7 linked regions of the Cricetulus griseus genome follow. The protein of the gene in region 4 interacts with the protein of the main gene of each other region in a pairwise test. Links are inferred from orthologs where the notes say so. Each region holds a gene or a part of one and is shown on either strand. Other genes may lie near its edges.

Evidence for each region.
Region 1: the proteins of Ap2b1 (region 4) and Gtf2i interact in binary tests that used the Homo sapiens proteins (3 or more experiments, as listed by UniProt). The link is inferred for Cricetulus griseus from reciprocal best matches to the Homo sapiens genes AP2B1 and GTF2I.
Region 2: the proteins of Ap2b1 (region 4) and Nup54 interact in binary tests that used the Homo sapiens proteins (3 or more experiments, as listed by UniProt). The two-hybrid records come from large-scale screens. The link is inferred for Cricetulus griseus from reciprocal best matches to the Homo sapiens genes AP2B1 and NUP54.
Region 3: the proteins of Ap2b1 (region 4) and Ap1m2 interact in binary tests that used the Homo sapiens proteins (3 or more experiments, as listed by UniProt). The two-hybrid records come from large-scale screens. The link is inferred for Cricetulus griseus from reciprocal best matches to the Homo sapiens genes AP2B1 and AP1M2.
Region 5: the proteins of Ap2b1 (region 4) and Cltc interact in a two-hybrid assay, tested with the Homo sapiens proteins (2 studies listed by BioGRID, with this or other methods). The link is inferred for Cricetulus griseus from reciprocal best matches to the Homo sapiens genes AP2B1 and CLTC.
Region 6: the proteins of Ap2b1 (region 4) and Itsn1 interact in binary tests that used the Homo sapiens proteins (3 or more experiments, as listed by UniProt). The link is inferred for Cricetulus griseus from reciprocal best matches to the Homo sapiens genes AP2B1 and ITSN1.
Region 7: the proteins of Ap2b1 (region 4) and Neu4 interact in binary tests that used the Homo sapiens proteins (3 or more experiments, as listed by UniProt). The two-hybrid records come from large-scale screens. The link is inferred for Cricetulus griseus from reciprocal best matches to the Homo sapiens genes AP2B1 and NEU4.

What each region holds. Positions count from the first base shown.
Region 1 is NC_048597.1:113,349,401-113,352,900, forward strand, and holds part of Gtf2i (general transcription factor II-I), read right to left. Parts: intron 1,393-3,500; coding exon 1,334-1,392; intron 971-1,333; coding exon 896-970; intron 1-895. UniProt on the Homo sapiens protein: Interacts with the basal transcription machinery by coordinating the formation of a multiprotein complex at the C-FOS promoter, and linking specific signal responsive activator complexes.
Region 2 is NW_023276807.1:157,236,986-157,240,956, reverse strand, and holds the start of Nup54 (nucleoporin p54), read left to right. Parts: upstream 1-1,171; 5' UTR 1,172-1,263; coding exon 1,264-1,330; intron 1,331-1,919; coding exon 1,920-2,081; intron 2,082-3,971. UniProt on the Homo sapiens protein: Component of the nuclear pore complex, a complex required for the trafficking across the nuclear membrane.
Region 3 is NC_048597.1:134,164,171-134,168,161, forward strand, and holds the start of Ap1m2 (AP-1 complex subunit mu-2), read right to left. Parts: upstream 2,801-3,991; coding exon 2,759-2,800; intron 1,166-2,758; coding exon 1,009-1,165; intron 853-1,008; coding exon 785-852; intron 1-784. UniProt on the Homo sapiens protein: Subunit of clathrin-associated adaptor protein complex 1 that plays a role in protein sorting in the trans-Golgi network (TGN) and endosomes.
Region 4 is NC_048600.1:96,585,657-96,589,156, reverse strand, and holds part of Ap2b1 (AP-2 complex subunit beta), read right to left. Parts: intron 2,834-3,500; coding exon 2,641-2,833; intron 1-2,640. UniProt on the Homo sapiens protein: Component of the adaptor protein complex 2 (AP-2). Adaptor protein complexes function in protein transport via transport vesicles in different membrane traffic pathways.
Region 5 is NC_048600.1:99,942,533-99,946,032, forward strand, and holds part of Cltc (clathrin heavy chain 1), read right to left. Parts: coding exon 3,493-3,500; intron 3,412-3,492; coding exon 3,244-3,411; intron 3,150-3,243; coding exon 3,000-3,149; intron 2,912-2,999; coding exon 2,780-2,911; intron 2,698-2,779; coding exon 2,587-2,697; intron 1,785-2,586; coding exon 1,614-1,784; intron 1,397-1,613; coding exon 1,175-1,396; intron 45-1,174; coding exon 24-44; intron 1-23. UniProt on the Homo sapiens protein: Clathrin is the major protein of the polyhedral coat of coated pits and vesicles. Two different adapter protein complexes link the clathrin lattice either to the plasma membrane or to the trans-Golgi network.
Region 6 is NC_048597.1:5,872,658-5,876,776, forward strand, and holds the end of Itsn1 (intersectin-1), read right to left. Parts: intron 3,661-4,119; coding exon 3,578-3,660; intron 3,331-3,577; coding exon 3,247-3,330; intron 2,658-3,246; coding exon 2,484-2,657; intron 981-2,483; coding exon 832-980; 3' UTR 501-831; downstream 1-500. UniProt on the Homo sapiens protein: Adapter protein that provides a link between the endocytic membrane traffic and the actin assembly machinery. Acts as a guanine nucleotide exchange factor (GEF) for CDC42, and thereby stimulates actin nucleation mediated by WASL and the ARP2/3 complex.
Region 7 is NC_048595.1:445,312,329-445,316,526, forward strand, and holds Neu4 (sialidase-4), read right to left. Parts: upstream 2,801-4,198; 5' UTR 2,789-2,800; coding exon 2,588-2,788; intron 2,484-2,587; coding exon 2,228-2,483; intron 1,017-2,227; coding exon 37-1,016; downstream 1-36. UniProt on the Homo sapiens protein: Exo-alpha-sialidase that catalyzes the hydrolytic cleavage of the terminal sialic acid (N-acetylneuraminic acid, Neu5Ac) of a glycan moiety in the catabolism of glycolipids, glycoproteins and oligosacharides.

The sequences.
Region 1 (3,500 bases), on a different chromosome or scaffold from region 4:
GAGGATCAAAAAGAATCAACTGTCCCCTAGGCAGTTGCTTCCTTCTGCGTCGATGAAAACAATGTGCCTAGCAGTTCCAGGGTTCAGGGCTGCCTGTTACTATGTCAGCCGTTTTAGACAATGAGCTTCCAAAGTTCACAGGCCTACACCAGAGGCCGGAAGAGAATATATGTGAAGACACAGAGCTGCTCTGAACAAGCACACTGTTATTCAAACCACCTATAAATGCATTTCATCAAAAGTAGGAAAAACCACCAGGAAAAAGATGAGAAACATCTCTCTGGGCTTGGTCTGCCTGACTATGGATAAACAATCCAAGGGGTTCCCCTCAAGTAACCCTCACAGGACCCTCAGATTACAAACAGTCATAAATTATGCCAGGGAGGTAGCTGAGTCACCAAAGTTTGATCCCTAGCTACATGGATCCCTGGGGCTCAAGAGCAGCCAGTCTAGACTACCCAGCTAGGTCAAGGTCCAAAAAGGGGACCTATCTCAAAGCACATGGACAGTGTTCCTGAGGGTGACACCTGAGATAGCCTGTAACAATGAACGCCCACACACGCATGCACACACACTCGAGAGCACACATACATACTCATGCATTAAAAAGCAAAATATTCGCTGGGTGGTGGTGGTTCAAGCCTTTAGTCCCAGCACTTGGGAGGCAGAGGTAGGTGAATCTCAGTGAGTTTGAAGCCAGCCTGGTCTACCAAGCGAGTCCCAGGACAGACAAGGTTGTTACACAGAGAAACTCTGTCTTGAAAAACAATTAAAAAGAAAAAATTAATAAATTTAGCATCAGTTGTTTTTCAGACAAAACCTCAAAGGCAGCAGAGTTACTGAGTCCACACAACTGTAAGGTAAAGAATCAAGAGAAAAGTGTGGGACGGCTCACCTTCCACCGTGACTTCAATCTCAGGAACCTTGGAGTTGCTCCCAGGGCTTCGTGGTCGTTTTGGGGACTGCAATGCTGTAAGGCAAAGTGCAAGATTACCTTTGCAAGCTGCATGAAAAACCACAGAGGGTGCTTTGCAAAAGCAGAGAATTAAACACAATCATACAGTTTGGCTCTTTTCAAAGAAACCCGATGCATTAAACGGCAGTGTAACCCTCCACATGAATGCCAACAAGCTGTGGAGACAGGGATGAAGGAGGATGCCAATATCCGAGATGGCAAGAAAACACAACACAGACAAAGAGATCCACTAAGTAAAACAGCTTAAAAGCAAAGAAATAAACCAAAGGCCATGGTGATAATGGAATATGACCCACGTGACATAGGAACAGTAGCAAAGAATGTAATGTGTTCATGCCCTGAGGTGCTGCCTCTTACCTTTAGTGTTGATTTTGCTAGCCATCCCAGGAGGCAAGTAGGACACTACTAGCTCAGGCCTAGAAAGAACATACAGTGCGTCACTCTACACACAGCACAAACAGCCAGAACTACTTCTAAAAGAAAAGTATATATTGGTGTTTTCCCTGCATGTCTGTCTGTACCACATGCATACCGAGTGTCCATGGAAGTCAGAAGAGGGTGTTAGATCCCCAGGACTGGAGATAGACAGTTGTGAGCTACCATGTGGGTACTGAAAATTGAACTCAGGAGAAGAGAAGCCAGTGCTGTTAACCCTGGTGGTGTGAATAAGAATGGCCCCCATAGGCTCATATGTTTGAATGCTCAGTCACCAAGCAGTGGCCCTAATTGAGAGAAGGATTAAGAGATACAGCTTTGTTGGAGTAGGTGTGCTGGTGAAAAGTGTCACTGGAGGGTGGCATTGAGTTTCAAAGGCCCACACCAGGTGCTCACGCCCCCCCCCCCATGCTTTGGATCAGGATGTGGCACTCAGCTACTTCTCCATGCCTGTCATCCTGCCATGCTTGCTGCCATGCTGCCCTTGCTGATGACAATAATGGAGTGAGCCTTGGAAGCGGTTAGCCAGCCCCCAATTAAATGCTTTCTATTATAAGAGCTGCCTTGATCACGGTGTCATTCACAGCAACAGAACAGTAACTAAGACAGAAGTTGGTACCAGGGAATGGTGTTGATGTGACAAGCCTGACCATGCTGCCTGTTGGTGAATTGTGAATTCTGGACTAAAAAGTGGTTCAACGCTTTAAGCAAGCCTTAATGGGTCATAACAGTAGGAGCATGGAAGACAGTACTGAGGTTTCAGAAGGGCAGAATAGCAGTAAGTGGCCTAGAGATTGTTCTTGGGATATTATGGCAAAGAATGTGGCCGCTTCCTGTCTTGTCCTAAAAATCTGCCTGAGATTAAATTGAAGAGTTTCTGATGGATTGGCAGAGATTTTCAGACATCCTAGCTGGTCAAAGAGAAACACAAAATGTGCAGTTTGAGGAGAAAAGGGTACCAGGAGCTAAGTCCAGTACTCAAGATGAAAAGTTTAAAGAAAAGTCTGATATTAAATGGAATAAAGGGAGTGGTGACTTCAGGGCAAGACTCCACCCAGCTATGCTCCCAACTTGTGAAGAAAAGCTTAAGCAGCGAAGGAAACCATAAACACAACCTGATGATGAAAATGTAACTGGAAGAGTGGGCAGGTTCAGCCCCATCAAGCAGAAGAACTTGGCAGCTTCAGCCACGAAACTGAATTTAGAGTCAACAATACAAGAAAGAGGTTTTGGAATCATCCATGGCTAAGGAAAGCTCCCGAGGCCAGGTGTGTGTCAGGGCTGTCCCTGAATGGAGGCCCAGAGAGGAGGCCATGACTGCCCTGGAGACCCTAAGATGTTGGAGATGCCAGAGCAATGGGTTACCTGCCAACGAAAACTGCTAACAGGGAATGGAACCAACCCCAGAGAAGGAAGTATGTTATAATCAACAAAGCTGAAAGGAGTTGGAGATCTGAAAAGCACTTTGACATCAGACATTGAGATGCAGAGTTTGAAGTATGGCCAATGAGTCTTTGGTCTTACTTTGGTTGGTATTTCCTCACTATGCTCCCTTTTGGAATGGCAATGCATGCTCTGTGCCATTTTATGTTGGAAGTATGTGATCTGCCTTTTGATTTTACAGGAGGTTACAGTTAAGAAACTGCCATGAGTCTCATAAGAGACTTTGAACTTTAGAGTTTTAAATAGTGTTGGGACTGTGAAAGACTATGGGGATTTTTGTAGTTGGACTAATTGTATTTTGCATTTTGAAATGGCTGTAACCCTTTGGGGACCCGAGAGTGGAATGTTGTGGTTTGAGTAAGAATGGCCCCCATAGGCTCATATATTTGAATGTTTAGTCACCAAGCAGTGGCCTTTGTTGGATGAAGGGTGTTACTGAGGGTGGGCATTGAGGTTTCAAAAGGCCACACTAGGCTGGCTGCTTGTGGATCATGATGTAGCCCTCAGCTCCTTTTCTAGTGCCATGCCTTCCGTGCCTGCCATCATGCTCCCCACCGTGACGACAGCAGACCGGGGACCCCCCCCCAGACTGTAAGCTAGCCCCCAACTAAATGCTTTCTTTTCTAAGAGTTGCCTTGGTCATGGT
Region 2 (3,971 bases), on a different chromosome or scaffold from region 4:
ATATATAGGCTTTCCCAGACAGGGTTTCTCTGTATTGCTTTGGAGCCTGTCCCGGAACTTGCTCTGTAGACCAGGATGACCTGGAACTCAACAGAGATCCGCCTGCCTCTGCCTCCCGACTGCTGGGATTAAAGGTATGCACCATTAACGCCAGGCGCAATATATATATTTGGTTTTTCGAGACAGGGTTTTTCTGTGTAGCTTTGGAGCCTATCCTGGTACTCTCTCTGGAGACCAGGCTGGCCTCGAACTCACAGAGATCCGCCTGTCTCTGCCTCCCGAGTGCTGGGATTAAAGGCGTGCGCCCCCAACGCCCGGCTTCGCAATAAATATTTTTAAAAGGAAAAGAAAAAAGAAAAAGAGCCAAGCATTGGTGGCACACACCAGGGCCGGAGAGATGGCTCAGAGGTTAGGAGCACTGTTCTTCCAGAGATCCTGAGTTTAATTCCCAGCAACCACATGATGGCTCACAACCATCTGCTGGCACGCAGGCCGAAGACTGTATACATAATAAATAAATAAATAAATAAATAAATAAATAAATAAGAATTGAGTCAAGAAAAATCTTGTTCCAAACTAGATTCCAGGATAAACCAGCGAAATGACTTTGGGAACGCTCCCATCTCACCTGTGCAAAGTAGTCAATTAGAATCTTCTCTGTGGGGTTGAGGATTAAGTGTTCCCGAGAAATGTGATGCAGGGCACAGACGTTAGCATTTAAAGGGCTCATTTGCTTCATCCGGGTCAGCCCTCCGTTTTGTTCAGCGACGACAGTGGTAAACTATGCAGAGACGAGTACTGGAGAGCGTGCCACACAGCACACACACGTGTCACTGCTAGCCCCATTATCTCTCCATCACTCCTAAACGCCCCTTTCCCAGCTGCTTCATCTCCTCCATCCTCATGTCCTACCGGAAGGCCCCCTGCTGGGTGGTCCGGGCGGCACGGTTACACCCTGAAGCACGCAATCTCCGCAGCCGCTCACCTCGCTAAGGTGGCTTCTAAGAGCCAGCTGGCAACCCTCCACACCTACTTCCCCCTGATCTCCCCTTTGTTGTGACGCCCCAAACCACTTGAAGCCACAACACACCCCCGGAAGTGAGCAGAACGGGGGGGGGGGCGTTCCCGTCCGGCCAGAGAGGAGGCGGAACTAATGATACAGCCCGCGTTTCCCGACCGGGCGGGAGAGCCGTGAGCACTGAGCGTCCGGGTGCGCCGCGGGAGCCCGGGAGCTCGGGACAACCTAAGCGCTGCTCCCGCGACATGGCTTTCAATTTTGGGGCTCCTTCGGGCACTTCTGGCACCTCTGCAGCTACCGCCGCACCCGCGGGTGAGTCAGCCCCTGGACCACCTTCTTCCGAGGAACGGAAGCCTTGGGCCCGCCCCCTCGGTCCGATACCGTCCGGCTGGGGGTCCGTGGTGGCCCTGGCACGCGAGACACCGTGAGGACATTTGGAAAGGGCGGGCGGCGAAGGTGGGAGGGCCGCGGGCTGCTCAGGCTGGGCCTGGGGCTCGCAGGGCGCGCGCATCCCGCGTGGCCGGGCCGCCGTGTCGCTTCCCGCCACCGGGGACTCCGCCCGGGAGGCTACGCCCCTCTTCCCTTCCTGGGGCCCCGCGACCCCTCGGCCGCCTCGGCCGCCTCGGCCTCCCGGCCCAGAGGGCCAAGGCTGGAGCCAGGCTACCCGCAGCGCCCTCCGTTCCCTCCCCAGCCTGGGGGATGCTGACCCCGGCCCCTGGTGCCCTTGCTCCTCTGTGTGTCCCCGCCTCCTTGGCTCTCTTAACCGGTTCCGGCGCCGCTCAGGTTTATTCACGCTGTGAAACCTCTTGCTGATTCTTGTTAATTCTTATCTTGCTTTCTTTTCCTTTTCTCTTCCCCTCCTCTCACGTTTTCAAATTTTCTCTGCCTCCACGTCTATCAGGATTTGGTGGGCTTGAGACTGCCAACTCCACCGCCAGTGGGTTTAATTTTGGGGGTTTCGGATTAACTGCTAACCCTGCAGTGAACTTTAATATTGGGAATTTCGGTGTTTCTACCACCTCGGCGACTCCATTCAATTTTGGTAACAGTCTGACGAGTGCAGGTAGATACTGCGGGTCATGTGTGTAACGAGGGTTGGGGGCTGGAGTCCAAGAATGTTCCGATGTTCCTAGAGTTTGAGGGAAAAAAATGGCACTTGTCTGCTAAGGGAAGGGTTCGTTTCCTGAGGTCAAATTGAGTGTATGTCAAGTTTTGACTTGTCTTAAAAGATGTGGTTTTTTTTGGACAGCCTTGAGAATTAAAATGCTCCTTTGTTGGGTTTGCATTTAATCATACGGAGTACAGCTTCAAAATGATAAGAATTTGCAATGGAGTTTATTTTGGATAGAATGTTTTTCAAATTATTAGCTGCGGTATAAGCTCAGCGTTTCCCTGGGATTCTTGGACTCCTGCAGTCGTTTTTCATTTTTTATACATATTCCATCGGGATTTCATCTTATTGTCCTTGTGTTTCCAAGAGAAACAAGTCTTATACGAACAGCGGTGACCTGTCTTGTTTTTCAATCTGTATAATGACGTTTTTCTTCCATCAACACGTTAGTATGTATTCCTGTAAGAGATGGAATCATAGAAAGAATCTCCAATTCTTTGCTGCCATTTTTTGGGAAAGTCTCTATGAGCAGTGTAATTTACGAGATGACATTGAGTTCTAAAACTCAAGCTAGACATCTCTGCATTTGAAAAGAATTACGAAGATTTTTTTTTAATCTACGGGTTTGAAGAATACTAAAAGATTTCAGAACACAAATATGATGGGTGTGTATGTCCCAATTTAAAGTAGGCTTATGAAAGCTCAGCATAAATGACCCTTGAAAAAATCGTGACCCTCAGCTGCTCGTATATGAATTTACTGTCCATAGTCTATGTTATGCCACTTCTGCCCATGCCAATTATTTGCATTTGGTAAACATCTCTTCCTGAACTTACTTGGAGAGCCAGATATTGTGTCAATTCAATGAGTTGAAAATAATGTGAAATACACTTGAAAATTTCAAAGATAAAGTGACTCATTAAGATACATTAGAAGTGTTTGCATATCACTGCCCTTGCTGTGTTTGCTTTTCCTATTTTGCTTAAAATTGGCACTGGGCAAACCTTATTTTGAAATTTATGTTTCAGAATAAAGCAAACCACATAGTTCAACAGCAACAAATAAACCTGTTTGTATTTGCTTGATTTCATGTCCGTTTGAAGTTGTCACTGTTAAAGTTTTGAGTTGTATGAATATAATTGTTTTGATTGCTTTCAAATATGTTAATTTAGCCTCAGCAAAGAGCTTTAAAACAACATTTTTTGTATCCATACTGGTCTACTATTACTAATAAAGCATTTTTGGTATTTTAAAATGTGGTAAGTTACTAACTAGTGTTTTTGTTGTGTGGTCAATAACAGTTACTCTTTGAATGCAGGGAGTTAAAAGGGAACTAAAGACAGTACTTATTTTAGGTGTTTCATCAAAATGTTTAACTGGCAGCATTGCAGTAGACTCCACTGAGTTACGTGTGTGCAATAGCCTATGCACTAATTTTCTAAATCTGAATTGTATTGTTAAGGGTCAGAGAGTGTAGCCTAATGATAGAGTATTTGCCTGCCTACTATATGCAAGGTCCTGGATTTAATACCCAGAACCACAAAATTGATTAAAACTAGTTAAATTTTTTTGAAACAGCTTTTTACTGTGTAGCCTAGGCTCATTTAGAAGTTCTAATCTTGCTTTAGCTCCTTTAATGGGATTGCAGGCACATACCATCACACCTGTTCTATGTTGCAATCTTTATGAGGCTATCCATTTACAAGAAATATATGAGGTTCAAGTTAGAATCTCAGAAAACCTGGAGTATAACTCAGCATTTATGGTTCAAATGTTTGTTTTCAAAGTCTTTTGCAGCATATTTATGAATAGGTAACTACTGCCATACTCTTTTTAAAAATT
Region 3 (3,991 bases), on a different chromosome or scaffold from region 4:
CCATCCATTACGAGATTTGATTCCCTCTTCTGGTGTGCAGATATACATGGAAGCAGAATGTTGTATACATAATAAATAAATAAAATCTTTAAAAAACAACAACAACAACAAAAAGGTTATTTAAAAGAAAAAAACCCAGGGGGGCTGAGAGGAAGGAAGGAAAGAAAACATTAAAAAAAAAAAAAACCTTCCGGATGTATGTAAGGTATACAAGTAACATAAACACATTTACAGAAGTCTTTGGTCTATCCCTAGGATGCCTCACTATACATATACACTATACATATACAAAGATTCTGACATCTGAAAACATCCGAGATCTGGCTCTCTCCCAGCACTAAGCATACTATTGCCCAGCCTGCAACTCCTGGAAGGGGAGATGGACTTAGTCAACATTTGAAGCTTGTTCTGATCAAATCCCATAGCCTCCTCCATTCTATTTACACCTCAACACTTTTTTGTTCGCTGTGTCCTCAGCTGGGGACAGTTCCTCTGTATTACTTCACCTCCACGGCCCCCTTTTCTGCTATCCCTTTCTTCCCTTCCCATTACACCAGAACCTCTCTTGGGTTCACAGGCACAGAAACAAGCGATTTGCTGAAGGTCACAGAGCAGAGAAGTGTGATCTCTGATCTGGGAGAGCCTCTTCCTAGCCCAGTTGTCAGAGTAGAGTGAGGAGGCTTTGATGGGCGGGGTCAGAAGACTGACTAAGGAGGCAACCAACAGGGTGAGCATACCAAGTAGAAAAGACAAACCAGCTAGCCAATGAGAGGCCAGTACCTACCTCCACTGTCTTGTACAGAAAGGAGTACACCAGAGAGGCATTGGCATTCTTCAGCGTGGTGGCCACCACTGGTACAGGAAGGTTAAGGAAAAGGGGTGTGACATGTCCCCTGCAGACCCCACCCCATTTCTACTGGCCCTTACCCCATGCACTGTGTAAACTGTTCTCAGTGCATTGCCCTCAGGATCCAGTTCCTGGCACTCCGGACCGGCAAGGGTGGATGCAGTAGAGATTGCTGTGTTTGATCCACAGGAAGTGCACTCGCCCATGGCTCAGCAGTGGCGCCAGCACGCCCTCCTCCTCACGCTGCATAAGCAGTGGCATGAAGTGGTCAATCTCCGTCATGGGTACATCACCTTTGTAGTTTCGGCTAATCAGGGGCTAAGGGTGGGTAGAGAGAACTCAGTCACCACCAGTACCCAACTTAGGGCACAGGGACTTACGATGTCCCAATTCTCTTCTCTCTTACTCTCCTTCTTTCCCATACACATCTGGCCTCTATTTTGTTTTATGGAGAGGATGGTGAGATAGTTCCTCATGTAGCCTAGGCTAGCCTTAAATACAAATGTAGCTGAGGATGAACTTGAACTCCTGATCCTCTGCTTCCACCTACCTAGAGCAACGATTACAAATCCTCTACCAAGTAAACTACATCCCTAGCCTGCCTTTCCTTCTCCTATTTTTTTTTTAATTTTTTTGGTTTTTGAGACAGGGTTTCCTAAGCTAAGGAGTGAATTTGAAGCAGGGCTAGGTAACTCAAACATTTCAAAACAAAAAGTAGAGGGGGGTTGTGAGAGAGCTCAGGGGATGAAGGGTCTTGCCACCAAGCCTGATAGCCTGAGATCCATCCCCAGCACCCACATGGTGGAAGGATAGATGTGAGTAAGAAGAGAGCTGGGTGGTAGGGGCGCAGGCCTTTAATCCCGGCACCCAGGAGGCAGAGGCAGGCAAATCTCTGTGAGTTCAAAGCTACACAGAGAAACCCTGTCTCAAAAAGTTAAAAAAAAAAAAAAAAAAAAAAAAAAAAGACAGCTTTTCACTTGGAGGCTGTCCTGGAACTCACTCTGTAGACCAGACTGGTCTCAAACTCACAGAGATCCACCTGCCCGGGTCTCCCGAGACAGGCACCACCACCGCCTGGCTCCCATTGTCATTGTGGGTTTTTTTGTTTGTTTGTTTTTGTTTTTCCAGACTTGGTTTCTCTGTAGCTTTGGAGGCTGTCCTGGAATTAGCTCTTGTAAACCAGGCTGGCCTCGAACTCACAGAGATCCACCTGCCTCTGCCTCCCGAGTGCTGTTAATCCCAGCACTCCCGGCGTCATTGTGTGTTTTTACAGGCATTTTTATTTTCTCTGTGTGCATGATGGGTGTGAGGTGGTGTGGGTTCACGGCTAGGGTGTATGTGGTCAGAGGACAATTTTGTGGGTTGTTTCTTTTCCCCTTACTGAGGTTTGAGGCTGAAGCTCAGGTCACCAAGCCTGGGCAGCCAGTGCCTTCACTCACTCGTTGAACCTGTTTGATTTTGAGGCAGTGTATCACGTAGCTCCAAATTCCCTCCTGCCTCCACCCTGCAAGTGCTGGAATTGTGGGTGTTTATGCATTGTTCTGGGATCAAACCTAGTCGGCTCACAACTGAGGCCCATGCCCAGCCCTGTCATTTTACTACAGGGCTCTAGTTTTCATCTACCGCTGTCACTGTCACTGCGGAAGGGGCCGGCAACTTGCAAGGAGAGTGTGGAGGCCTTCCTCCAGTTAGTTACACTGTGCAAATTTATCAAGCTCACGGGTTGTAGAAGGGCTGTGCTCACTGGTTCAGAGCGCTCGTATTCCCATTTTACATGCAGGGAAACTGAGGCAAGAAGCGAAGCCCCTTGCCACAGACGCGGGCTGGAGAGCGCGGGTCCCCAGCTCCGGGTCCTGCGCCCTGGGCCCGCGGCCTCCCCCGGGCTCCCTCAGCCCCTTGCCCCCTCCTCACCTTGCCCTTGACGTCCAGAATGAAGACTGCCGAGGCGGACATGGTGGCGGCCGTAGACGCCGAGAGGCGGGGGCGAGAGGCAGAGGCGGCGGCGCAGCTTCCTTCTTCCTGCGGAAGCTCCCTCACCCAGGTGAGGGAGGCGGCCAGGTGAGCGCGTCTTAAAGGGGAGGCCGCCAGGTGAGCGCGTCTTAAAGGGGAGGCCGCCAGGTGAGCCGCGAGGTAGGCAGCAGACGTCATACTGGGAAAGGCAGAACTTGGGGTGTGACAACTGCCCTGTCTCAGGTTCTTCTGGCGATGAAGGATGCCCGGGTGGATGAAGAGACGCCAGGACATTGATCCTTGGATCGGTCCACTCGCCCACCGCGCGTCCGTGGGTGTGTCTATTCAGCATCTCATCCGCCTACCCAATTATCCATCCGCCCACCACCCCCTCACACACCCGTCCCTCCACCCGTACACACCCGCGACCCGCCGGTCACCCTCCCACACACAGCCATCACTACCCCGGGTCCGCCATAGGTTCACGTGTCCACCCACCCAAGCCTCGGTCCGTCCGCCAGGCAGCCGTCCGGACCGACCAATCCCGAGTTTGTGTAGCTGGTTCTGTCACCCACACAGACCAGACGGTTTCTGTTCGTGCCCCAGTGCCCACCACTAGATGTTCAGAGATGCTGGTCCCTCTCATTCGCTCACACTATACATTTTACTACGTCCGTTTATTTTAGTTTGGTTCGTTGGTTGGTTTTGCTTTTTGTTTTTTGTTTTTTTGTTTTTCAAAACAGGGTTTCCCTGTGTAGCCCTGGAACTCGCTCTGTAGACCAGACTGGCCTCAAATCCGCTGCCTCTGCCCCCGCGTTCTGGGATTAAAGGCGCCACTACGCCTGGCCTGTTTTTTGTATTATTTTCTATTCTACAAGGAAGGATGAGATGATAATCGAGGATGACCTGGCCATTATGCGGTTCAGACTGCCCTCGGTCTTACAAGTCCTGAGATTACAGGCACGAGCCACCACACTTGACTTTGTTCTTTGTTTCCCAACTTCATTATTGAATAGCCCAGGTTGGCCTTAAACTCAAGATCATCCTTCCAATTGCTGGGATACCGTTTTGCGGAGGATGGGGAAAAGCACCCCAAACCTCCCAGGAGCCAGCGACCTGATGCTCTGCTAGGGAAGAAACATTTCTTGCACAGCCGTTAAGCCGTTAGGGGGCGACAAAGGCCACTAGGTCCTC
Region 4 (3,500 bases):
CACTGACCTCCATGGAGTAAGGTTGAGTTAATACCCAACACTAATGTTGGGTCTTGTGGCACATGCCTACAATCCCAGCACTAGGGATACTGAGGCAGGAGGATTGTCAATTTGAGGCTAGCTTAGGCTACATATGAAGAACCTGTCAACAATAACAACAACAACAACAAAAAAACAATTAACAACAATAAAAAAATCCTGCCTCAAAAACAAGGTGGAAGGCCAGGACCAACACCCAAGGCTGTCATCTAACACAACACACACACACACACACACACACACACACACACAAAGAAACAAACACAACCAACCAAAACAAAACCCCAAATACAGACTACTAAGTTTTACCAGAGCCTAACTAAATCAGGATCTCTCTGGTACAAGATTTGTATATACATTATATAGTTTTATGAAATGCTACTATAAGGCAAGGTTTCATTTAAGAAATGGCACTATTTATACAGATTATAAGAAAACTGGAATTATTTTCCTCTTTAGGTAACTGGAACAGGAATTTTAAAGTCTCACAGTTCACTGATGCCTTAGAAGCTCATCTTCCACACTGCCAAATGTGGGCTTCTCTTCTAATGCTCTTGTAAAAGAATACATTAAATTACATACAGATCCAAAGTAAAAGTAAGGGCCCAAAGTAAAAATATGATGCCCTCTTGTGTCTCTAAGACACCAAGCATGCATGTGGTACACAGACATAAAATACAAAGCACCCATATACATTTAATTAATTAACTAAGAAAACAGAAGTGCCATGTACATTTTGTTTTTGTTTTTTTTTTTTTTGTTTTTTTTTTTTTTTAAAGACAAGGGTCTTACACTATAGCCCTAGCTGGTCTGAAATTTCCTATGAAGACAGGCTGGCCTCAAACTCACCTGCTTCTATCTCCTGAGTGCTGGGCTTAAAGGCCACTATGCCTAGCCTCAAGTGAGTTCTTAGAACCTTTACACTCACTAATTAGGCTATGATGGCTGGCCAGCATTCCCCAGGGATCCATCTGTCTCTGCCTCTGAGTACTGGGCTTAAAATGTGTGCCACTATTACCTGTTTTTTGTTGTTGTTGTTTGTTTTTGTATATGTGGGTGCTGGCAACCAAACTCAGGTTCTTACCCTTCAAGACTTAACCATCTCCTTAGCTCCTTCCACAGCCTCTTTATCTGAATCAGTACTTAGTCTGAGTTTTATCTTTGTGTATTATGGATACATCCACCTATTAGAATTATGAACCTGCAAACATCAAAATCAGGGCCTCTTTTCCACCTCAATCTCTAAACCCATTGTCAATGAATAGGTTCAATGAATCCATCACGTAGTAACCCTCCAGGGAAAGCAGTAGGAAGTTAAAGCATAAACCTGAGGATGTATTATTCAACCTATAAGTGATACATCAGTACAACAAGAGTTATTTTTATTTCCTGGGCAGCTCCATGATACTTAAATTATTTGTCTACTTTGATTCTAAAAGACCATACAGCAATGTAGAATGATGACTCAATACTGTTCTACAATCAGTCAAGCCCAAATGTTATAGTCAAATACCACAGTCTTCGTGAAGCTTAAGAGACAACGGCATTATATACAGAAGAGAACAAGTGGTTCTGTTTCTATCATCTCTGAAAATTTCTGACCTACAGTGTGTGCCCTCCAACGTTGCTGGGAAATGCATCAACTTGTCAGGCATCTTGATAGTCATCAGAGTATCAGACACCTATTCTGTAAGTCCACCAAGGTTAAGTACCTGATTTGCAGGGAGCCTTGTGACCTATCATTTCCCTGGCCTTTTCCCCAGACACTGACTGTTGCCATTTGATATTTCTCCATCTTGGACAACATGGGCTTGGTAGCCCATGTCCACAGACAGTCTGGACTTTGGAACCTTTTATTATTAGAATCCTGGAAGCTAATTAAATTGGAAGTATGACAAAGGCAGAAGTGAAGAGGAAGGGGAAAAGTCAAGCAGTTCTTTTCAATTGTAATAAAGGTGCATTTTAGACAAAAATGCTCAAATGACTGCCTTAAAACATTTCAGAGCTGGAAAAGGCACAAACCAATAACTATTTAAAAGACAGAAGATATTTTTTTTAATTTATTTTATTTATTTATTTTTGGAAGTGTGTGCATATTGAAGCAGGACCTCATGTAACTCAGGCTTGCCTCCAATTCACTTTGTAGCCAAGGTTAACCTTGAACTTCTGATCCTCCTGCCTTTCCTCCCAAGTGATGGGATTATAGGTATAGACCACCACACCCAACAAGGCAGAGGTTTAAAGGCCTGAAAGATGGTGACCATTATTAAGCCACTTTAATGATACTCATGACCAAAGGACAACTTACAAGAAGTTAAGAAGTAGGAAAAATAATGAACTCTGGTAAGGACATCATTAATTATGATAGCCAAATAACATGTTGACTAAATACCAGAAGTTCTATTTATAAGCAGATCAACATAATAAATCTGTATACATGTAGACATATTCCATCCCAATAATGAACAGAATGGTAATGAAGTCTCTAAAGATAGATAATTCTGTCCTTTACAAAGGACATTTCTGTTCACCAAGGAAAGCCAAATAAAGTTCTCTAGTCCAGCAAGAACTAAAAACACCAAAAGAGAAGCAGAGGCTTACCAGGCTATCCAGTCCTCCTCCTAAAAGATCCACGGCTCCCATCTGCATGGAGGACACTTGTGGCACGTTCACTGGGGGACCCAGGTCAAGATTTAAAAGATCCCCCAAGAGGTCACCTTGAGAGGGGATGACCTGAGGCTGTTCCAGGTTGGTTGCAGTGGTGGTGCCAACAGGGCTATCACCTGCATCAGTGCTGTAATCAAACACAGAGGAGAAATAAGAAAAACCATCTTCACCCCTATACAATAAAGCAGCAAGCAAATGTCACATGTACAACCACAAAACACTAAGAATGCAATTAAGGAATTAAACATGGCTGAGATGTCTCAGGAGGTAAATGTTCCTGCCATCAAGTTTAATCCCCAAAATCCACACAGTGGAAGGAGAGAATTGACTCCCATAGGTTGTCCTCTGTGAGACATGTACACGTACACACAACAAATAAATACATGTTAAAAAAAAAACAAAACTTAAGTAGCTTTTGACAAGATCTGAACATGGAGGGGTAAGGAGAATGACAATAAACAAACATTAAGGAAAAGATAAGTGATGCTGCCAATAGGGGAATCTGGAAGGATGATAAAAAAAAAAAATAAGACACTCAGGTTTTGTTCGCTAAGAACACATTCTACCACCGAGCTACAACCACAGCTTCAAGATGCTTAATTCTGTTATGTGTTAAGAAAAATAACTATAGATGTCCAGCAGTCAACTAAAGACAAGTGATTGGCAGCCAGAACTAGAGAATAAACTTGGAAAGAAATTTATATACACATCTCAGGTAACTTATCAGGGGAAGGTGGTTGGTAAGAGCAGGGGATCTAGACCCAGACATCTAAGATCAAGCATAGGCTTTACAT
Region 5 (3,500 bases), about 3.4 Mb from region 4:
GATGGAAAAGAATCAACTTTCACCTTTTCCTTTATTGCATCAACCTGCAAAGGAATTCAGAAGGTGCAGCTTAGAAAAAAATCAAATTCCATATTGAGCATAAAAAGGTAGAATCAGCAACAAAGGTTCAGGGGAGAAACATGTACCCACTAAAAAAGGTAGGAGCGAAGTGGAAGTCAAGGGCAAACGGAAGCAAAATTGAGAATCCTTTTAACTTCAAAGCTCACTGCAGAAGTATTTATGCTAAGTCAGTGTGAAAGGAAGCAGCTTAATGGCTAGTAATGGACAGCACTTAGGTTAACAGCAGCCAGGTCTCAAAAGGTGGCATTATGCATAAGAAAAGAAGCTTGGCTCCCCTGGGGCTAAACTGGGGTAACTCTTTTAATCACACTGAACTGAACTTACATAAAATATTATTCCCTTAAAAAAAAATCTAAGTGCAACATGAGGTATGTAGGTAGGTGATCCCTTGAGGAAAAAACTTTCTATCCTGGGGTTTATTTGTAGTGTTTCCCCCACTTGTACTCAGGCATGCTGAAGAGAACAGAAGTGAGACTTGATTTGTTCTGACAAAAATGGATCTTTTAATATTATTTTTCTATGCATAGCTAGTAACTCAGGACAAGCAAAATCTATTCTAACATTAAAAAGAGATGCTAACATGAACAGTAAATTTTATAAAGTGGCTGTCTCCTCAGTTTATTTAATGTGTATTTAGGAAACATGGGTAATTGCAAATTTCCTATTGTATTTTTAAATTAGATATCTGATTACCAAAAAAAAAATCTGTGATGACTAGCAGGCTGTTAATACAACAGAGCTTCCCCATGGGAAACAGGTAAAGACATGAAGTCAGAAACCAAAGGGAGTCTACAGAAGTATATATGGAAATCTGAGTTATAGGAATTAATTTTAAAATGCTATTTTAAAAGATCTCAAATATTAAAACAGAGAGTGCTATTCACTTGAAGAATACAGAGAGGGTAAACAATGACAAGCTTGAGTTCCCTTCCTAGTCATGGCATCTGTCAACACTTAAGAAAAATTCTATGTAATAGGAACATTTTATGATCAACTAAACAATTTATATTAGAAAAAATAAAACTAATATGCATGTAGAATTGCACATATTCTCAAGATTATTAGTTTTGAATATACTTCTAAGCGTCATTACCTTGGTCAAATATTCCTTCATGACCTGGATGAAATAGGGCATGGCAAAATCCATGATATTGTGCCTCCATGCCGTTTCCAGGACGACATCTGGCCTTAAAAGATCATAACAGGTAAAGAGACAAGCCCCGAAGCACTCTCTTTTTTCTTCCTGCAAAAACCACTGTAGGAGTTCTTCAGCCAATTCTGTATCTTTAGATTCAGAGGCATACTGCATCGCGTCCTATTCAGAGAAACAATGAAGGTTAGAGGTTTATCCAAGGATGCTGACACAAACCAGTCCTGGAAGTTAAAAAACAAAACAAAACAAAACAAAACCCCACTGACTAAAAGACCACATTCACAAAAGAGAGTTACACTACCAATTCTCATACCCATGAAACTAACACTTGTAAGACACTATCTGAGTTGATTGGACAGCCCACCCCCACTTTATCAACCTTGTAAAGGCTGTCTTTCTTGCACAGCTCTACGCTCTGTTTCCAGCGATTGTTGCCTTTGAAGAGATAAGCAGCAATTCTTCTGAATTCAATGAGTTCATGTTTTTCCAAACGCTGAGCAAGTGAGATATTGTCAAAGTTGTCATAAGCATCTATTGATGTTCGTAGAGCCTTAAGAGACAAAGCAATTCAAAAGTCAAAAAGGCTTTTACTTTTAACATTTATTTTTCACAATTCATTTTGATGCAGGCAATTAGATGATAGCATAAAATATAACAACATAGATTCAAGCATCAAACTACAAAAGTTGTAAGCTGGATTCAGATGTCAATCTTCTTCATCTACTTCTAATACAATAAATAAAATCCTCAAATGTACTGCACAATTTTCTGAAAGGGCAATCTGCTCCAAGGTTTCCAGTACTGATACTAACTTGAATAGCTATGGAGCTGGGAGAATATGTAATATGGACAACAACTTATGCTGCCAGGAAATAATTCATAAAATTACATGATATTCAGCCTTACAGGCTAGACTATGAGCCTAAAGGAATCATGCTGATCCAGAAGCCAGATTCTGAGGCAAGACTGCACTTTATGCACTACTAGGCAAGTTCCAGTCAGGTCAACAATTATTAAGTGAAAGAAAACAAGGCAACTAGCTTAACCTAGACATTTTCTATTTATGTGCTATCTTTCACAAAAGCAAATTTAAAAGACAAATACTAAAATATGAGACAAATACTAAAATAAAGAAAAGTAATAGTTTTTTTTTTTTTTAAAGAAAAGTAATAGTTAAGTACTTAATAACAAGTAAGTTTTATGGACTAACTGAAGAAGCCTAGGCACCCACGTGCCTGCTTCTTTATAAATGTAAAGGTAACAGTAGCTTTTACCACAGAACCTGTTTAAAGCCAACTTTAAACCTAATCAGAACCATGTTTTAAGTATTTACAAGAATCCAAAGGTTTTACCTGGTAATCTTCTTCTGTAATAAAGAGGTTGTTCAGTGACTCATTCACAGATTTGTTGTTGTGGTTCTGAACTGAGCGTAAATATGGTTTCACCAGTGGTAGCTGTTTAACCTTTAAAATAAAGTTTGTTAGAAAGATAGCCATGGTTGAAGGTCTATGAATCTTCACTATGAAGTCGGTTTGAAATGGTTACCTTGCTGAAATAATTGACAGCACGAGTGTGATCCAACCGTGGAGACAGCACCATAAGCAAGTCATTTAACAACAGAGGCTTGAATTCTAAGTAGAACTGGATTGCTCTGTAGTACAGCTCCACATTGGCCACCTAAAATAGGAGAAACCCATGCATTAAAAGCCAGTTCGTCCCCAACGAGCCCTGTCTTTCCACAGCCCATATCTCTGAAGGTATATACCTTGGTGATGATGTCTTTGAACTGCCCTTCCTTCCATGCATCAGTGGGATGGTTCATCATGGTGATTATGGCATTATCATACTCTTCATACTTGTCATACAGGAACACCAGCTCTGCCCAAAGGTGGGCTTGTTCTGCAGCTCTCAGCACCTGCACAACATAGACCAGTCGTGTAAGATGTAAGCCCAACTCCTGCTATCAGCCTAAATGATTAGAGCTGCCTTACAGTGGTGAAGATTGTTACCTTAGGAATATTCACTCTCGACCAGAACAACTCCAGGTGTTCCCTCATTTTCTGTGGCTTGAATTTAGAATACAAAATAGCTAGTTCGGTAAACATTCCCATGTGAGCTCGTTCTAGTCCCAAGGCTGCCTCCAACATGGTAATGAGTTCTTCAAAATATCCACGATCCTAAACAAGGGAAATGTGCAATTAGAGGACAGAATATCTATACAAAGATCTCAATCCATATAAAGGTCTGGTGTTCGTTACCTGATAGT
Region 6 (4,119 bases), on a different chromosome or scaffold from region 4:
CAGAGAATGTTCCGATAATAGCCGGCAACCAGGACTCAATAATGTCATGGAGCCTTCCCAGTGCCCCAAAACTCATCAGGACACAACTTCATAGGTGAGCTTCCATGCCATCAAGCCTTCCCAGGGACCCGAAATGGATCTAATTCATCAGGACGGAACTTCATAGATGAGCTTCCAGAACCATTCTCCAAGCACACCATGAACCACTCCACAGAACACCAGTGTGTTTCCACTGAGACACTAATCCAGGTCTGAACAGCTCTAACGCACACTTGAGAATCTTCCAGTAATGGCTCTCGGGAGAGCTAAGTCAGTGCCTGCTCCACGAGTCATTACGACGAGCTTTCAATCCAGGGCCCCATTTCCCAGTGGGAGCTGGACTCCAAAGCAGCAACAATTCCATCACAATCGGACTAAACACACCACGCACCGGGCATCATAGGCCAGGTAGTTTACAAAGGGGCTGCTAGAGGGGAGAAATAGGAGGCCTACACAAGTTCTCCAAAATACAGTCACTGCATTTATAAATCTATTTTATAGTAACCAGACCCACACCTCCAGCCAGGGGAAGGATCTAGGCTCCCAGGGGAACCTAGTTTAAGATTGTGGATTTCAGAGACTCTAGAAGGCATGATGAGACCTGTAATGGGGACAAAGGAAAAGAGAATCTGGATTCATAAAACGGGACATGGTTTGAAGAGCAGGATTGTCGAGAACTACTCCTAGGAGCCTTGAGGGACCTTTGTCTCTGCTGTCCCTGTTGCCCCATGGCTGACCACCAGACAGCACATGGGGCCTTGAGAGGAAGTCCTTCATGATCATCCGGGGTGGCTATGGCTCATCAAACAACTGCAGGTCAAGGCGGACCACAATCTCCCCCGTGGGGACCTCGTGCAGCAGGAGACACTTGGTAACTGGCCCCTTGGAGCCCTGGTCTTTCTTGATGTCAGCCACTCGGATCTCTGTCCGACCCAAAAAATCTGAAAGGAGAGAAAGCAAAGCATACTCAGAAAGAGTTCCTTGTCTCCAAGGTGCATGTCGGTCACACTGGGGATCCCCTACGACACCGCCAGGGTCCACCTCCTCTAAGGCTGCTTGTAAGACCAGCACTGGCGTTGTTCCCAGTTTACTTCCCCATGGAGTGGTCAATGCACCATAGTATCTCACTGCTAGAAAACCAAAGAAAGTTTTAAAATATTCTCAATAAAGCAAAATAAAATATATCCAAGGTAATGTGTATACCAACTACCCATTTACTGTTACATATCATATATACTTACTGCGATAGCCCACAGAATATATTCTGCGTCCATTTTAAAGTATATTAATAGGGTCAAGGAGATGGATGGGTCAGTAAAAGTACTTGCCTTGCAAACACAAGGACATAAATTTGGTCCCCAGGGTCTGTATTTAAAAAGAAAGCCAGGAGTGGGCTGGAGAGACGGCTCAGCAGTTAGGAACACATGCTGCTCGTCCAGAGGACCTGATTTGGGTTCCCAGTATCCCACCCAGTGTCTCACAACCACTTGCGACTCTAATTCCAGGGCATCCAACACCATCTTCTGGCTCCCATGGGCTCCTACATGCATGTGTTGCACACAAACTCATGTAGGCAAATGCATAAACATTATTCTTAAAGCTGGGCAAGGAGCTAGTGCTCTTAACCATTAAGCCATTTCTCCAGCCCATCTTTTACATATTTATTTATTTATTTATTTATCATGTATACAGTGTTCTGCCTACATGAATGCCTGCAGGCCAGAAGAGGGCACCATATCTCATAACGGATGGCTGTGAGCCACCATGTGGTTACTGGGAATTGAACTCAGGACCTCTGGAAGAGCAGTCAGTGCTCTTAACCTCTGAGCCATCTCTCCAGCCCCATCTTTTACATTTTTAACAGGGTCTCCTTATGTAGCCCCACTGGTTTCAAACTCATAATTCCTGTCTCGGCCTCTCGAATGCTGGGATTATAGGTGTGAACCACCAAATGTGGCTACATCATTGCTCTTTTAAACATTTACTTATTTACTTTGTGTGTGTATGTGTTTGCCCGTGTACACACCACAGCACGTGTTGAGATAGAGGATAACTGACAGGAGTCCCCTTCCACTGTGTCAATCCTAGGGATCAAACTCAAACCATCAGGTTTGGCAACCAAGTGTCTTTACTTATTGAGCCTTGATGAGCCAAGGACAGAAAAACAAAAGAAACTACATCTAGGTTTCTAGGCATGCCCTTTCTCATAGCTGCCTGTGCTGGAAAGCAGATCACTTTAGTCTTTGTCTAGATCAGTGAAGCAACCAGCCCCAGCCCTTCCTGCCCACACCCACTCAGTTGGCTCCAGCAGCTCCTTGCACAACGCCAACCTAATCTCTAGGGAACTCCAGGAGTGCCAGGCTTGGGTTCAGGAAAGCATGTACCCCTCCCTGTAAGAGGATGGGGCAGGACCAAGGGTGCCCTGAGGGCCATTTTCCACTCACCATCAGGTGAGAACTGGTCCCTCTCAAACACAGTGATGCAGAGAACTTCCTGTTCCAGGTCTCTGATGAAGAACTGGCAGTTGGAATTCCACTTAGGGTTCAGTGTGTCCTGGATTGTCTTGGTGATGTGGCATTGAGAGCCCATGGTCACCTCACAGTACGGGTTGCTCTTTCCTGGAGTGAACAAAAGCCCCTGCCAGGTGGGACACATTTCATTTCCATCCCCCTCAACCTTGGAGATTAACAAGTGGGAAATCTGTGGACACGCCCATATTTTGGTATCACATCTAGATTAACAAATCCATTAACAAGGCTCCAAAGCCAGATCCCTTCTATCTGTGCACATTATATCATGTGTGATGTATTCCACTCGTACTGTGAATGCGACCTCTCAGGTCTTACTGAAAAGCAGGACAATAGAAAAGAACTTACAAAAATTATGTGTGTGTGTGTGTGTGTGTGTGTGTCAATATATGTGTGTGTATATATATATATGTATGTATGTGTGTGTGTGTCAATATGTATCGTGTCATATATATATATATATATATATATATATATATATATAGTATGTGTGTGTGTCAATATGCATATGTATGTGTGTGTGTGTGTGTGTGTGTGTGTGTGTGTGTGTACGTGTGTACATATGGCTCTTTGGCATTCTAGAAAACCAAACATCAGCAGGAAATTTACACAAGCAATAGCACAGATAATGTCAGGCTGGTTAGGGTGGAGGATGAAGGGCGGGACTCACGGCCCTTACCATGTGACCGACAGGGCTTCAACTCAATGCCTTCTACGACGTTCACCATCAACCTTCCGATACCGGTTGCTCGCTGGGAGCGGACTAGACCGCAAGAAAACAACACAAAGTTCGCTTTGATGCCCCCCCCCCCCCCGCAGCTCGTCGGCCGGCAGCCTGCGGAGCATCTGTCCCGCTAGAGCGCGAAGCCCCCTCGCACACTCCGTCCATCCTCCTGCCCCACCTCGCTCGCGCCATTCCTGCGCATGCACGAGTTCCAGCCCCAGAGACACCCGCTGGACTCGGTGGCTCTCCCGCCCCGCCCCGCTCGCCCTCCGTTCAGCCACGTTACCCAGGTACGCCTTCTCGCGCTTCTTTTTCTCGGTCTCTATGTAGAGTTCAGAGGCAGCTTTGATTTTCTGCACCCAGGCAGTCCTTGGACAGGAAAGAGGGAACAGATCGCTCAGAACAGAGAACAGAACCGGCTTGGGGTCTGCTCAAATTCTGTTTCCGGGACTCTTTTTACCTGGTTTATTTGAATTTAGCAGCAAAGGCTCAGAAAAGAAAGACTGATTCTGTATGACGTGGCGCTAACAATTATCTCTATCATGAGTAAGGAAGTCTTTCTTTTTTTTTTTTTTTTGAGTCAGGGTCAGGGTCTCATATAGTTTAGTCCCAGCTGGTGAGGAACTCACTAATTAATAGAGGACGGCCTTGAACTCCTCTCCCTGGCTCCGCCTTCTGAGTGCGGGGGTTGCTTGCACACGCTTCTGGTTTATGGGGTGCTCAGAATCGAACCCGGGATTTTGTGCACTTGAGGCAAGTGCTCCACTCCCGGAGTCACCGCCCTGCATGCCCTCGAGCTCTCCCTCACGTTCCCACTCCCACGAAGAC
Region 7 (4,198 bases), on a different chromosome or scaffold from region 4:
CCTTCCTCCCCAGGTGCCTGCCAGAGGGCCAGGCCATCAAGAGGGCCAGCAATGCCCCTGAGGCTTGTCCCTGGGGCTGCGTATCTCTAGGCCAGTGGGTACATTCTCCAGGACATCAGCCAATGAGAACAAGCAAAAAGAGATGTCTTCGTAGGAGGCCCTGATCCCGCTCTCAAACAAACAGGCAAAGGCCAGGGACGCCCCAGGCACAGCCCCAAGGAACGCTAGGTCGGAGTAGCCACTGGGGCCCTCATAGATCACCCAGGGATCTGTCCAGCTATGGGGGTCCAAGGGGGACCGGCTCAGGTAGATTCCCATGTGGAGCCGAGCTCTACGCTCTGACGGGTGGGAATACAGCAGCCATGTGGGACTCTGAAGCAGGGAAGCAGAGGACACAGGGAGTTCTGGGCTCCAGACTGTCTTATCTCCACCTGGCCCAGGTTCTGAGCCATGATTCCCTAGACCCCAGGTCTGTGGGGTGCAGAATGGCCCTCTGGGAACCCAACCTTCAACAGGACCCCCAGCACCTTCCCCTGAAGCCTCCTGTACTCTGAGATAGAAGCATGGGGAATGTGGGGTATTCCCAGGACCCACGGGCCACCGGTCATCCTGAGGCCTGCTGGAGGGTGGGGCTGGGAAGCCCACAATGCTACCCTGGCAGCCACGGGCAGTTTCTGCCAGTGTAGGCACCAGCTCCCCTGGCAGGAAGGAGGTGCCCTCATCAGCACTCAGTGCCTGCACCCGGTTGCCCAGAGGGCTCCGGGCATTGCAGTAGAGAAAGTCTCCACCCACGGCAGCCAGTTGGCACTCTCCAGAGCGCAGGTTGGGCACAAGGCCTCCACAGTGCCAGGAGATTCCATGGTCATCACTGTAAAAGGCCAAGGAGTGGGGACTGGTCCAGCAGATCCTGCCGAAACACTCTCGGCGGTCCACGTGGTAGGTGTAGGCAGGGACAAGCAGGCGACCTGAGCGCAGCTGAACTCCATGGCCTGGACCCACAGCAAAGGTGGCCCAGTCTACAGAAAGAAGGAGCCAGAACCTTGGGTTGGGTCATCTGACTGCATAATCCTGGGAGCCTGCTCGGTCAAATGCCTTCTTAAAGTTTTTAAAAGACTTATTTTTAATGATGTGCATTGGGGTTGGGGGGAGGCTGGAGAGGTGGCTCAGAGAGTAACAGCCCTGGCAGCTCTTCCAGAGGTCCTAAGTTCAATTCCCAGAAACCATATGGTGGCTCACAACCATCTGTAATGAGATCTGGTGCCCTCTTCTGGCCTGCAGGCATACATGTATACATAATAAATACATCTTTAGTTATGTGCATTTGGAGGGTGTGCACATAAGTGCAGGTGCCCATAGAGGCTAGAGGTGGCAGATGCCCTGGAGCTGGAGTTACAGGCAATTGTGAGCCACCCAATTCAGGTGCAGGGAACCGAACTCCAGTTCTCTGCAAGAGCTGTAAGCCATACAAGCTCTTCACTCTGAGTCATCTCTCCAGCCACTTGGGAGACTTTTGCTTTTTGTTTGGGGGTGCAAAGCACAGAAACCGGGCCAAACAAGTGGTCTACCACAGAGCGGTTCCCCAGCTGTTAGCCAACAGAGGCTTAATGATCACCAGCAGAGCTCAACTTCTGGAGCAAGTGCTATTACACAAGGGTGGTAAAGGGAGGAGACCGTGGGTGAGGTTTTTGGATGTGCCCACTGTCCTTGTCCACCTCCCAGAAGCTGCCACACCCCTCTAAGTAGCAGTCATGGGCCTGGTCCTGTAGCCCCTAGGGCCACGCCTATCAGCAGGAGTCGGGTAGTGAAACAGAGTCAGCAACTGCAGGTGGGGACTGCAGAGGTGGAAAAAATGACGGGGGCCAGAGACCAGGGCTGGATGAGGAGGAGGCGAAAAGCAAAAGGAAGTGGTAAAAGAGAATAAGAGCCCCAACCCTCTCCTCTACAGACCAAGACAAAGGGAGCCCCTGGTGGGCTTTAGCTGCCGCCCTGCCAACACTGAAGGCGCTTGGGGAATGCCAGACAGTCCTGGAGACAGTGTTAGGAAGTCATTGCTCTTGGGGGTTGTGGGGCAAGAAACTGAGGATAGGAGAGGCAGAATGAAGATTTCCAAGTGACTGGTGGGCCTATGCAAGGGTCAAGCCCAAGCCCATCTTGCCCTGTCCTGTTCCTACCCACTCAATTCCTCCGCCCCACACCACCAGCCCATCCCACACCAGGTGTCACCTACCCCGCAATGCTGCACCAATGACCTCCTCAGTGAGGTCTCGCACACTGCCCCAGGTGAGGCCCGCATCACAGCTGGTCACACAACAGAGCCGAGCAGCGTTCTTGCCAGTGGCGATCTGCACGGCCTCGGGCGTGTGGCCCAGCACCGCAATGAAGAAGAGGAAGATGGTACCCGAGTGTTCGTCCAGCACCGGGCAAGGGTTCATAGACCTGTGCCCCTCCAGCACCGCAGTCTCCAGCACACTCAGGGTGCCCCACTAAGAAAAAGAGGCAGCTGGTCAAGACATCTGGAGCCTGACCTTAGTCTCCAGAGGGATCAGTAGAGCTGGGCTTCCGTTTCCCCTCAGCGCTTTGCACTCACCCGCACTGAGCCCTTGGCCAGTGTCCCCCTCCTCAGCACCAGGCGGTGAGCATGGGAATCATCAGGGCTGAGTCGCTGTTCTGCAAAGGCCAGCAGGGTAGGCCTGGGAGGCACACTGAGCAGCGCAGGCACGCGGTAGGTCAGGCCCGTCCTCTCCCGCTGGAAGAGAACGGTCCTTCTGGGAACACGCGAGGGCCCCATGCCCTTCAGGTAGGAGCAGGACACCTGGAATCTGTTGGGGAGGAGGCACCACAGGTTTACATGGCCACAAGCCAGCCCCACAGACACCTGCCCTCTTGATGGCACTTTCCAATCTCCCTCTCCCCAGACTTCTCACAACCCATCTGCAGACCCCTCACAGCCACTGCACCCCAAATATCTATAGAGCAGGCCCCTTTGTTCTCTCCAAGCTGCTCCTTTGCCAGGCTAACTGGTGCTGGGGAGCTGGGCAGAGAGACCCCACATCCTTCCAGCTGGTGTGTCCTGGACACATATCACCACAAAACTCGCCTACCAGGAGTATGGGCAAGTGGACAAAGTCAGACAAAAAGGGGGAGGGGGGCTCAGTGTTCACAAATATGGTATGTGAGACCAGGGAAGGCACACCACACGGCAGAGGCAGATGAAACTGGAAGGTACCCACATGGAAGCAGAAGGGAACTCCAGAAATCTCCACAGAAAATAGCTCAGACATAGGGCATGCGCCCACGGGATCCCTGGGCTGGCTGGTGGTTTGGAGAACAGCAGAGCCCTCTCCTGCAGCATCCATACCAAGCTCTCATAGGCACCAGAGAGAGCCAGGGGCAGGGCAGATCAAAAGGCAGCAAAAAGAAAGCCAAGGACACCAGAGAGGTCCTTGTTTGGCCCTAAATTGATTCCTCCCTGTCAGAGCAGGGTCATTGCCAGGCTGATGGAGCAGAGGAGCGGGTGGCAGCATTCCAGGCCAGGAGGACATGCTGAATGAGGAAGGACAAAGGCCTCTCTCCGCATGGCCCTCGCTGTGCTGTCTGCCCCTGCGGCCACTCCCTAACCTCACCCACAAGCCAAGGTCAGGAGGCTTACGGTGTGATCTGCCTGTGAGCAGCTTAGCCCCTCTTGTCCGTACCCCCACCCTCTGCATCCTCATCTGTGGGACTCTAGACTGAGCTTGGAAACACTTCCACATGGAACTGAAGCCACAGGAGGGTGACCAAGCAGCCCCAGGGCATATTTCTTCCCCACTTAGCCTCTCAAAGAAGGACTAGTGGGAGATAAGTTGGGGACATGACCTGGGCCTGCCAGGTACCACTGTCTGATTTGCACAATGGCAGACGAGAAGATGAGTGTATATAGCTGGTGTGGGGTTGTTGGGAAGGCAGGGCAAGGGGTGCATTACCAGCAGGACACGAACAGTCAGAGCTCACAACCGTCTAGGCCAGACCACCACCAGCCAAACAACTCATGACCAGGCACCCCAGGCCAAACCAGAGCCACACACACAGCCCACACCAGCCACTCCTGACCAGCCTACCACAAGCCATACAGAAGTAATAGCAGCCAGGCGTTCATTGGTGGTGCACGCCTTTAGTCCCAGCACTCAAGAGGCTGAGGCAGACAGATCTCTGAGTTCGA